2 linked regions of the Caenorhabditis elegans genome follow. The protein of the gene in region 1 purifies or fractionates together with the protein of each later gene. This does not show direct contact. Each region holds a gene or a part of one and is shown on either strand. Other genes may lie near its edges.

What was found.
Region 2: the proteins of rips-1 (region 1) and alr-1 fractionate together in Caenorhabditis elegans (co-fractionation; one large-scale study listed by BioGRID). This does not show direct contact.

What each region holds. Positions count from the first base shown.
Region 1 is NC_003283.11:3,770,165-3,775,155, reverse strand, and holds rips-1 (Methyltransferase domain-containing protein), read right to left. Parts: upstream 3,136-4,991; 5' UTR 2,968-3,135; coding exon 2,920-2,967; intron 2,856-2,919; coding exon 2,713-2,855; intron 2,665-2,712; coding exon 2,571-2,664; intron 1,582-2,570; coding exon 1,075-1,581; intron 1,028-1,074; coding exon 722-1,027; 3' UTR 560-721; downstream 1-559. Other genes in the region: cysl-3 (Cysteine synthase 3), read left to right, coding at 176-410, 457-559; R08E5.1 (Methyltransferase domain-containing protein), read left to right, coding at 3,681-3,716, 3,871-4,013, 4,055-4,172, 4,225-4,731.
Region 2 is NC_003284.9:11,121,333-11,127,325, forward strand, and holds alr-1 (Homeobox ARX homolog alr-1), read right to left. Parts: upstream 4,289-5,993; 5' UTR 4,227-4,288; coding exon 4,098-4,226; intron 4,054-4,097; coding exon 3,930-4,053; intron 3,877-3,929; coding exon 3,690-3,876; intron 3,612-3,689; exon of another isoform or gene 3,319-3,611; intron 2,886-3,318; exon of another isoform or gene 2,739-2,885; intron 2,686-2,738; coding exon 2,640-2,685; intron 1,945-2,639; coding exon 1,767-1,944; intron 1,690-1,766; coding exon 1,265-1,689; 3' UTR 539-1,264; downstream 1-538. UniProt on the Caenorhabditis elegans protein: Transcription factor. Involved in activating or repressing transcription of genes in neurons. Regulates expression of nuclear hormone receptor odr-7 and LIM homeodomain protein lin-11 in AWA and ASG chemosensory neurons.

The DNA.
Region 1 (4,991 bases):
TGTAGATCAAACCGTAATGAGACAGCCTGGCACTACGTGTAAGAATGATTAAAAGTCACGGCTGCGGTCGAGGTTCAGAACCATCTCGCTGAAACTCTGCCAGTTCATAATATGAGGGAGTCTGAAAGTGCTAACATTTCGTTATCACTCATTTCTTATCATTATAAACTTCTAGGAATCGGTGCCGGCATTGTGCCAGGAAACGTCGATCGCTCGTTGTTCACGGAAATTTTGCGCATCAAGTCTGACGATGCGATGCAAATGGCGCGGCGACTCGCCGACGAGGAGGCAATTCTCGGTGGAATCTCGTCCGGAGCCAACGTCGTCGCTGCCGTGGAGCTGGCTAGTCGCCCCGAGAACAAGGGAAAATTGATTGTGACCACTGTGAACAGCTTTGCAGAGAGATACTTGTGAGTTTATAGTGTAGTTTTTTTTAATCGAAACTTAAATTTTCAGCACCACGGAGCTGTACTCGGATGTGCTCAATGAAGTTTCACAATTGACTTTTTCAAGTGACGATGAGGCGATGGGAATTGCGAAGAAATATTTGGGTCTCTAAATGTATTTAACTGACATAAGATTGAGAATTTTTGGAAATTTAAAATAAATTGTATTCCCCAGCCAGCCATGAAAGAGTTTAATTATTTCAAACAAAAATTAAACAAAATTAATTTAGTAGGTCTTGTGCGGACTTAAAATATTAAAAGGCTTCAATAGTACCCTAATTTTTCTGGGCACAATACATCACATTAATAGGGAAATATGGGGTATCAATAACCTTCACATCAGGGAATCCGCATTTTTTAAGCAGGTCGGTAGCACGTTTCTGCCCCCACATTGCACCATAACACAGAGCATCTGGGCAGTTACTTCCGACAGGGAGACAATGGAACATGGAGCACCCGTACATCATTGCAGCCAATGGGCCCATGGCGGCTTTATCGGTGTATACGTTACTGGAGCCGAGCACCTCTACCATAGCGAACATCCCGCTTGGCTTGAGAACTCGGTGGATTTCTTGGACGCACTGAAAATTATAAAATATCTTTTTAGAAAATTTAAGATTTTCAGTACCAAATCTGGTCTCCGCTGATCGTGGCATGCATCAAAAATAAGCACCAAATCGAAGGAGTCCGTCCAGATTTCTGGCATTTTTCCGGCGTCACATTCAATAAATTCGAGATTGTTGAAAGCCGCTCCTGATTTAGTCTTGCGTTGTTTCGCCTGCCGGATGGCATCTTCTCCAATGTCTAGCCCGACAAAATGCGACTTTGGGTATTGCTCGGCGAGCAGCGAAGAATGGAATCCACCGCCGCACCCGACGTCCAGGACTCGTACTCCGCCGGCTTCAAGCTTCTCGACGACTCCGTTGCCGATGTCCGGAAGCATATCTGCTACCACATGCTTCTCATGAAGTGCCTGGCTCATAGTTCCCATGAAATATTGGAATTTTGTGAATTGCGCGTACTCCAGGCCAAGTGGCCCGTCTTTCCTGAAGCAGTCGATGAGCTCGTCGAGAGGCTCCAACAAGGTGGCCATCATTCCGTTCATCACGGCTTCGAAGCTTGAATTGGAGAGCTCCTGGAATGATACAATGGTTACTGTAGGATTACTATAGTTTTGGAAAAAATGGGCTTTTGATGGGATGTTGGATTGTGGCTACTGTAGGAATACTGTATGAGTACCTCACGATTACTGTAGTTTCAGAAAACATATGTTGCTGTCATTTGGAAATACATTTGGTGAGGGTTACTGTAGGGTTACTGTAGGGATACTATAGGAATACATTAGGATGAGGGGTAGGTGGCAACTGCCGTTCGGCAATTTTTTTTATCGATAAGTTCGGCAAATTGCCGGTTTGCCAATTTTCCGAATATTTTCAGTTCTGATAACTTGCCGAATTGTCGAACATTTTCATTTCCGGCAATTTGCCGGTTTGCCGATTTGGCGAACAAATTTCCCGTTTTCTTTCGATATTTTCATATAATTTGCCTACTTTTCCAAATAGATCTAGGAAAATTAGTAGGATACGTACAATTTTGCCGATTAAAATTGTAATTCTAAAATTTCCAGAAAAAAATGTGCAAGACCACAATTTGCCAAAAATTTCCGGCAATTGGCGTTTTTCAGGCAAAATCGGCGAATCGGAATTTTGCCGGTTTGCCGTTTGCCGGAAATTTCAATTCCGGCAATTCCGGAAAAATCGTTCGCGGCCTACCCCTGATTAGGATTACTGTAGTTTCAAAAAAGTTTCACTTGCCCCGCTGTTATTACATAATAGTTTGCACGTGGTGTTAGAGTGTTTCATTTCGGCTTGATCTACGTAGATCAACAAAAAATGCGGAAAAGGACACTCAGAGTTCTCAACTGATTTTACATGGTTAAGAACGTGCTGACCTCATACTTTTTTGGGCAAAAAATTCCCGCATTTTTTGTAGATCAAAGCGTAATGGAACAATCTGACACCACGTGAGTTTGTAGTTATTGTGCAAACACCAATGAACCTTATTTTAGGCTCAAAAACCCTTCCGAAAAAATTTTTAAAAAATTTTAAAAACGCAAATAATTACCTGAACATTTTCGGCGGCGATCCAAAACTTCTCCTCCTCGTTCACTTCAATAATCTGCCCACAGGCCATGCAATTACACCATTCTCGAATGTACCTAGAGAATTTCAATTTTTCGAGAAACTCTTTAAAAAATCTCAAAAACCTCTCTTTGCAGCCTGCCGCTTCGGCAAGTTGCTCCGGGAGCACTGGCCCCTTTTCGCTGGAAATATCAGCCAAAGTTTTGAACAAGTTTAGGCGATTCCCAATGTTAATGGCATTCGAGATTACATTGCTGACGGCGAGGTTCTGCAAAATATGCACACCTATATACAAATTTCTAATCGTTAATTCAAAAATTAATAGAACTCACAAATAATTTCTCCTTCATTGAGGTAGAACAGGTTTGTTGTTGCGACATAGTGATCAATTGAACATACACAAAATTGGAAAATCGAGACTATTTATATACCGTTGTCCACGTGTTGTGTAGTGTGAAGAGACGCAAAGTGTAAAAAAGATGAGATCTGTTATACAACACCCTTTTCGAATGCTCTTTATCGCCAGAAAAAGACAGTTATAGCAGGCTGGAGGATGTACGTGATTATTGTCATTTGTAGGTTGAGAAAGTGATCTATGATGCAAATTATTGTAGCTTTTATTATAACAGAACATCTTTATGTTCTAGTATTGTAATTCCGCAAAAATGTAACGTATCTGTTTAAAGGCACATGATGCTTTTCGAGTGGGTCTCGGCACGATCTGAAGGTAGATGAAGGTGGAAGGTGGAAGGTAGGATGTGCCAAGTTTTACGATTTAAAAGTATGTACATATATTTAAATGTTAAAAAATTTGCAAAAAATTCAATCAACAAACAATTTTTAACCTTCAAACTTTGCCGAAAATATGTTTTTTGTGACATCACTCAAAATTCTGACCTTTTCCAATTTTTGATCATTTGACCGCACGATCTGCTGTCGCAATTGACTAGAGTCACGTACGGTGGTCATTTGCTAGAGATTGATTAGTTGCGGAGACCCCGACAATGTGAGGGAATCGCAGAAAAAATTATAGATCACGAAAAGACATTGCAGTTTCAAAAATAAACTTTTCTGGTTACGAATTTTTCAAAAAATGTCTTCTTCGTCTAAAATGAAAGAAAAACTATTCGTGAGTTGATTTGCCTCTAATTACCGCGCCTAACCTGCTTGTAGTTTGTGGTGAAATTAAGGGGTTTTCGTATGTTTGGCAGTAGGCACCAGGCAGGCGTAGGCTGCCTTCTATGCATGAAGGCATAGCGCATGAAAGCACTACTATATTTCAGAACCTAGCAGTAAGCAATGTGGTCTCGAATGCTATTAACGTTGGCCTACGCCTAGACTTGTTCAAAATTTTGTCTGAAATTTCAAGTGAAGCAAGCCCAGTGCTCCCGGAGCATCTTGCCAACGCTGCCGGTTGCAAAGAGAGGTTTGTACATTTTTCTATGCCTGCCTACCTGCCGCCTATAGTTCCGACATAATATTTTTCCAAATGTATATTCGAGAATGGTGTAACTGCATGGCTTGTGGAGGAATCATTGAGGTTAATGAGAAGGAACAGTTTTGGATTCACGTGGAGAATGTGAAGGTTTTTAAATTGTACCCACATTATCTTACAAATTTATATAAATTTTCTTCAGGACCTGCTAACCAATAGTCTTGCACTAGTGATGATTGGCTCCACGCCAACTCTTCTGGAACCATTTGAAAAACTCATTGAATGCTTCAAAAAGGATGGGCCGTACGGTCTCGATTATTCGGAGATCTCAAAATTTCAATATTTTATGGGAAAAATGAGTCAGGCACTTCACGAGAAGCATGTGATAACTGATATGCTTCCGGACATCGGTCACGGAGTTGTCGAGAAGCTTGAAACCGGTGGAATGCGGGTTCTGGACGTCGGGTGTGGTGGTGGATCCCATTCTTCGTTGCTCGCCGAGCAATACCCAAAAGCACATTTTGTCGGGCTAGAAATTGGAGAAGATGCCATTCGGCAGGCGAAACAACGAAAAACTAAATCAGGAGCGGCTTTCAACAATCTCGAATTTATACAATGCGACGCTGGAAAAATGCCAGAAATTTGGACGGATTCCTTCGATTTGGTCCTTATTTTTGATGCGTGCCACGATCAATGCAGGCCTGACCTAGTAAGTGAAAAATATTTTTGCGCGTAGGATATATCGTTCATTGAGACCGTGTTTGAACTTTTTTCCAGGTGTGTATCTCAAGCACACAATACGTTAGATTTGACGCGCAAGATTATTCTTAACGGATTGTTCACGTGGTGCCAGACTGTCTCATCACGGTTGATCTACAAAAAATGCGGGAATTTTTTGCCCAAAGATATGTGACGTCAGCACGTTCTTAACCATACAAAATCAGTTGAGTAGTCTGCTTCAAGTGCACA
Region 2 (5,993 bases), on another chromosome or scaffold:
TGAAGGAAAACTTTTTTAGGTTGATTGTTTTAATCGTCCCAATATAGCTGACAAAAAACGGGCAAGCCATAACATTAAAAATATAAAAATAAATTTAGATGCTTTTTCAAATTTTGAATAGTCAAATAATACTTTCGAGTATCATTCAAGACGTTTCGTGATGAAATTATCAATCGTGAGCAGAATGAGTCTCTGGAAAAGAAAACGCCTCTAGAAAAGAAAAACGATACTTGTGTAGTTGTTGTACTCCAAAATGTTCGAAATGGAGGAATTTCCATAATAGTCAACATACGTGTTTTATTGGTATTTTTATTTCACGCTTATGAACGATTTTTTTCTAAGCCTACAATACAGAAAGGATTTACGTTTTATTTCTGGAAAATATTGAATACTATTTTGGGTACAGTTATCACACAATTACCGAAAAAAAGTTTAATTTTGTATTATCTATCTATCATAATTGCATTTTACGATTTATTTAAAATAATAATACTATACTGTGATCTTCGAAGGATTCATTTTTATAGTGTACCAGAGGTTATTTTACTAAATTTATTAAAATCCAATAAAAATCTTGAAAGAAAAAGTGCAGTGAATATATATATATATTATATGCAAATCAAAAGTACAGATTTTGGAGAGGGGAGGCCTTTGGTGTTTTGGATTCAGTTAACAATTAAAGAGGCGAGTTTAGAAAAAAGAGGTTGTTGTTCAGTGTATAACACGAGCGTTGATTAAATAATCTATGAACAGTGCTTCCCAAACTACATAGATTTGACAAAGGATTATTAGGAAATGTTGAAAACAAAATACAAAGGTAAGTTTAAAACAAAACGTCACGATGAGTGGAGAAAATGGAGATCCGATTTCAATTTGAGTCAAGGAATTCTAATTGTCATTGAAAAGGGGAGGTTGAGGATTTGAATAAGGCGAAGAGCTCACCGGCTAACTTCGGTATAACAACGACACAAACTAATAAAAGCTGGAGTATAGTAAAGCCGAAAACCATTTTAATGCCTACATTTCGAGGTAATCGAGAACATTGGCGGTCAGGAGAATATGGGTGTTTGGACTGTGAAAGGAAACTTGGAAAACATTTCAAAATCTTGAATATTCAAAATATATAGGACGGGAATCACACATATGAAACGTTAGGTGTATTGCAAATTTTGTTGAATAACTTTTTGGACCAGGCAATCTATTAAATGCAAATAAAGAGGAGAATTTCTAATTTTTGTAGTGAAATTTTTTTAATTGTGTTTACTCATGAACTTTCTTCTTTTGGCTTCACATCGGATATCAGACTATTCATGTCAGCAAAATTCGTAGGACTCGTGGATGTTGCAGCAGCTCCGGAACTTTCAGTTGGAGTGGGTGATGAGCTTCCCGCTCTACTATTCGATTTCGAGTCTTCAGTTTTTAATGCTACAACATCGGTGACTTCAGCCGTAGCTCCTGCTGGGACTGATCCCAGAAGCTGAGTGCGGAAAGCATCCATAGCTCTGCTGAATTGTTGAACATAAAGCAACTGCTGCGTAACAGGAGTAATTCCACCGAACAACATATTTAATGCATCTGCGTTTTGGAACGTAGGTGTCACAGAAGTTGGCAAGATTGGAGAAGATGTGGTCACTGGTACAGACGGGGACTGAGACCGACGATCAGATGTTGCAATCCGTACTTGTTCATCTGAAATTTTATAGTTGCAGTAACTTGCGCTAGGCATGAAGAACTATCAATTTGGTATATAACAGTAAAAAACTTACTTAAAAGATGAGCCGCGGCTTGCTGATTGATAGCTGCAAAAATAGCTTCTTGGCTGAGCATCATCTGGTACGGATTATCTCCATTTGAATTTGGAATACTCATTGGAGCTTGATAAGGGTGATGAGTACTGCTGCGTTCTTGTTTGCGATACTTGGCTCGTCTGTTTTGAAACCAAACCTGAAAAACATAACGATGAAGATGACGCTGGGAAACGATTCACTACGCAAGAATATTTAAATTGTAAGCTTGTTTTTCTTACTACTTAATTCTTGAAACAAATATTCTAAAAGATGATGCATCGGAATTTGCTTTGTTTAACTTTCTTACATGCGAATGGTCGTCTTACTGTTTAACTGTGATATACAAGTCCCAATGATAATTTTTTTATTGATTGATTAAATAATGTTTCAAAAGTCACAAAACAATTTTTATATTGGTTAGATTTAATCTAACATGTATCTTACCTAACAATAGATACCACTTATCGCATTAGATCGACATTAATTTTATTATAACTGTAATATGAACCGAGCAGATGAGCTATTAACGCCAATGTGTTGGTCCCCCCTCGTTACCTTATTTAAAAGCAAGGTGACGATGATCTATTAGAAAAAAGAGATTAGCAAGCAATCGCGTGAAGCAATTTAGATAACATCGCGTGCTTAACTAATTTTTTCATTCGCTGGGTATAAGTACTCATTCGTGATATATTCAATCTACACAATCTCGTCGCGTCATTCCAACACCACCACATGATGGGACCAATACTGCCTTTTCAATGTGCCCCACTATTGGCGCATTTATAATTCGTTATGCATTATCAAATGAATTTGGGCGAAGAGATCTCGAGATGAAATCCTACTGTAACTTACTTGAACTCGGGCCTCTGTGAGCTGGACTCGTGTTGCCAATTCTTCCCTGCAAAAGATTTTCGGTGTAATTAAGCACTTGAAAGCGGTTTTAAAAGGAAGGGGGAATCTAGTAAGAGGGGTTCTTGAATGGTAGCACCACGCCGGAGCAATTGTCATTGCTCAATTAGATCTGAATTGAGACCGGACCTTGGTACTTCTTTCGGCACTGCGTCAATTGATCACGCATTGTTTTTGGGTAAACGCATGGCTTAAGAGGCAAAAGTCAGTAATTAATCCGTGCAATATCTAATTGATGAACGGAACAGGTGGTCACGCTCTTCCTACACAAGACACCTACCCACGTCTTAATTCCTGTTAATTCTTGTTAGTAAGATAGGATCACGATAAGATCATCACAGGTGAGAATGTCTAGGATTCGCTAATTTTTCTATGAAAATCAGATTTTTTCCAAAGATCTAGCTCCAACAGTATATACTTTGCAACCTTCAGAGTTTGAAAAATTAATAAATTAAGCATTTGGTTGCCTGCTCAAAGTTGAATAGCAAAATAATACTTTCCAACTTTTACCAAAACAACAGATTACATTTCTACTCGCTACATTGTTTGTTTAATTAATCTAATTTTATAAAAATCTAGTCCCTTGGTTCTAGAAATTATGCGACCCTCGTAAAACTAAATGGCCCTCTCTAATATTGAGCAAATGAGTTTGTGCTTCTTCAATTAAAGCGTCTGTGCGCAAACACACGCAACGCGACACTTGATATTGTGCATTTTGCATGATTGCTTCATTATGAGTTTCGCCTTTTTCCTGTCCTCCCCACCTCTTCACCACTTCATTTTTCATTTTCATTTCAAATTGGATTTGTAAAAGAAATGTTAAATGTAGAAGGTAAAAAAGGTGAAATATGCTGAACTTGACCTCGATCATTATAATGTTTGAAATTGATAATTAGTGCCATATGGTGTAAGAACGCAACACAACTGTTTCCAAATTCAGGGAGAAGGGAAGGAAAGTGAAATTTTCATATTTAATTAGTAACTCATTCTTACCGAGTGAACACATCTGGATAGTGAGTCCTGGCAAACACCTTCTCAAGCTCGTCCAACTGAAATGCACTGAATGTTGTACGGTATCTTCTTTGTTTCCTCTTTCCATTATCATCCGGACTGTTTGTGCCATCTGAAGGGGATCCGTTTTCTCTATTGTCAAGTACTGAGGCAGCTTCTAAAATATTATCTGAAAACTTACGAATATATTTTATTAAATTAAATTAAAAAATAATATCTTACCTCCAGTGGGCGTTTTCTTTCCATCGTCTTCTTTCAGCTCATGCTGATTATTAGTCAGCGCCGCAATAGAAAAAGCTGGTGGAAATGATGGGAACTGTAACGCTGGATTTGCAAACAATTGTGCCTAAAAACGACGTGTTAAAATTTAAAAATATTTAACAACGCTACCTGTAACTGTTCCATAAGACTTTTTGAATACTGATTCAAATCAGCTCCATTGGGCCTGTGAAGTGGCGGGCAGTTCATGTCTAGATCTTTCTCGTCTTTGGAAGAGTCTTCTTTCTTCAACTCGGGCATACACAATGTGAATCCAAGTTGAAACGATTTACCAAAGTTGAAAGAAGGAAGCGAAAACAGCTGGAAAAAATGTATAGCTTTATGTTGAAAATAACAATGAGAAATGATCAAACGAATAAAACGAAACGAATAAAAAAGACAAATCAACATGAAGATAATGCTAGAGAATAATATGATGTGTAGAAGTAAAGTCAGCTAATTGAATCATGGACTTATTTGCATTCAGAAAAATTAATATTTTTACTATGATGAGTAAATGAATTCAATTTTACAAGAAGAAGCTTGGAACTCATCAAAGTAGACAGAAAGCTTAGTTCAAATAAAAGTCCACGCCCAAAATCGCCTGATGATTGAGCCCGGTATTTTGATATTTCCTTGTAAAAATACATGATGTTAGGAAAAAAGGGAAGAGCCAAAAAGTGATGCGTTTATCTGGTTTATTTCGAGATGATCTACCTGACAAATATAGAATTTTAAGAAGATAATTTGATTGTGGGCGAAAGGATTTGGCAACATGGCTTGCCGAATTAACAAAATGTGAGTGTTATTTTGAATGGTGAGGCATTCTAATTCTTCATTTACGCACAACGCACAAATTCCAAAATTTTTGAATCTTAAGTGCTAGTTTATCCCAATATCCTCTGTCTCTTTTTATGTCCTCAATCCTTAAACAAATGATGAGTAGGATTTTATATATATGCCAAAAAATCACTGTCTAAAATTAGATATTCCTAGATTTTACAGATCACGATGATGGGATACTAAAAAGTCGAAATCAAATCAGATAAGCGGATTTCGAAAACACATCTCTACGACAGTTGGAATAAATAAAAAAGAAAAACAGTTCAGATTGATATTAATGGAATTTAGAGGTTTTGATTGTCTAATTTGATAAGATCTACTCAACTTTCATGTTTACCGCCAATACAGAAAAAAAGTGAACTTCTTATCAAATCTTGTCAGTGAAAAGATCACAAAACGGAAACCATGCTATGACAATGAATTAGACTAATTCGATTTTCCCTTTGCCTGGAAAATAAGAAAATCTACCGAGAACCGAATGGCGATCAACATATTCAATTAGTTAATGTGTTAAAAGATGGCGACTTTTGCCAACCACCGAAAATGACGGGGGGGGGGGGGGGGGGCAAGCGGGCTTAAAAGGGGAGGGGGTACACATTATTTTTCCTTGTTTTCCTGCCCTTTCACCTTTGTCTTTCAATTTCTCTCTCTCTCTCACTCCAAGGGGTCGCTTTTCCTGTTAGGATCAAATTACCATTTGCCACATTTTCATTAACTAATGAAATTATGAGAATGTGGGCTCCGTACTGCTCCCGGCAAAAGGTGTGATGTGCAAACGGCAAATATACCGTTTTACAAAAAAATAAATTTCTCTTGAAAAGTCTAGAAAAAGCAAGTTGGAATTTTTGAAAAACTAAAAGTAAACATTAATTATCATTTCGAAAAGCAGACCAAAGTTATTATTAAAACTTGAAACATTAAAATTATAATTCAGTACAAAGAGAAATTAAAACATGAATTGAGAAATCTGTCACAGTGGACACCCAGGAGGTAAGCAAGCAGGGAAAGCTTAATAGGATTTCTAAATAGGTTCATTAATGGATGAGGTATCTTGAGGCGGGCGGTGCATATATTACGAGATGTGTAATGATATAATTATTGTGTTGGAATATCTGAATTTTCTGTTTTCGATGTGCCTCGTCTTGCCTTTTTCCTCCTCCATCCGGAGTGTATTTGCACGATACC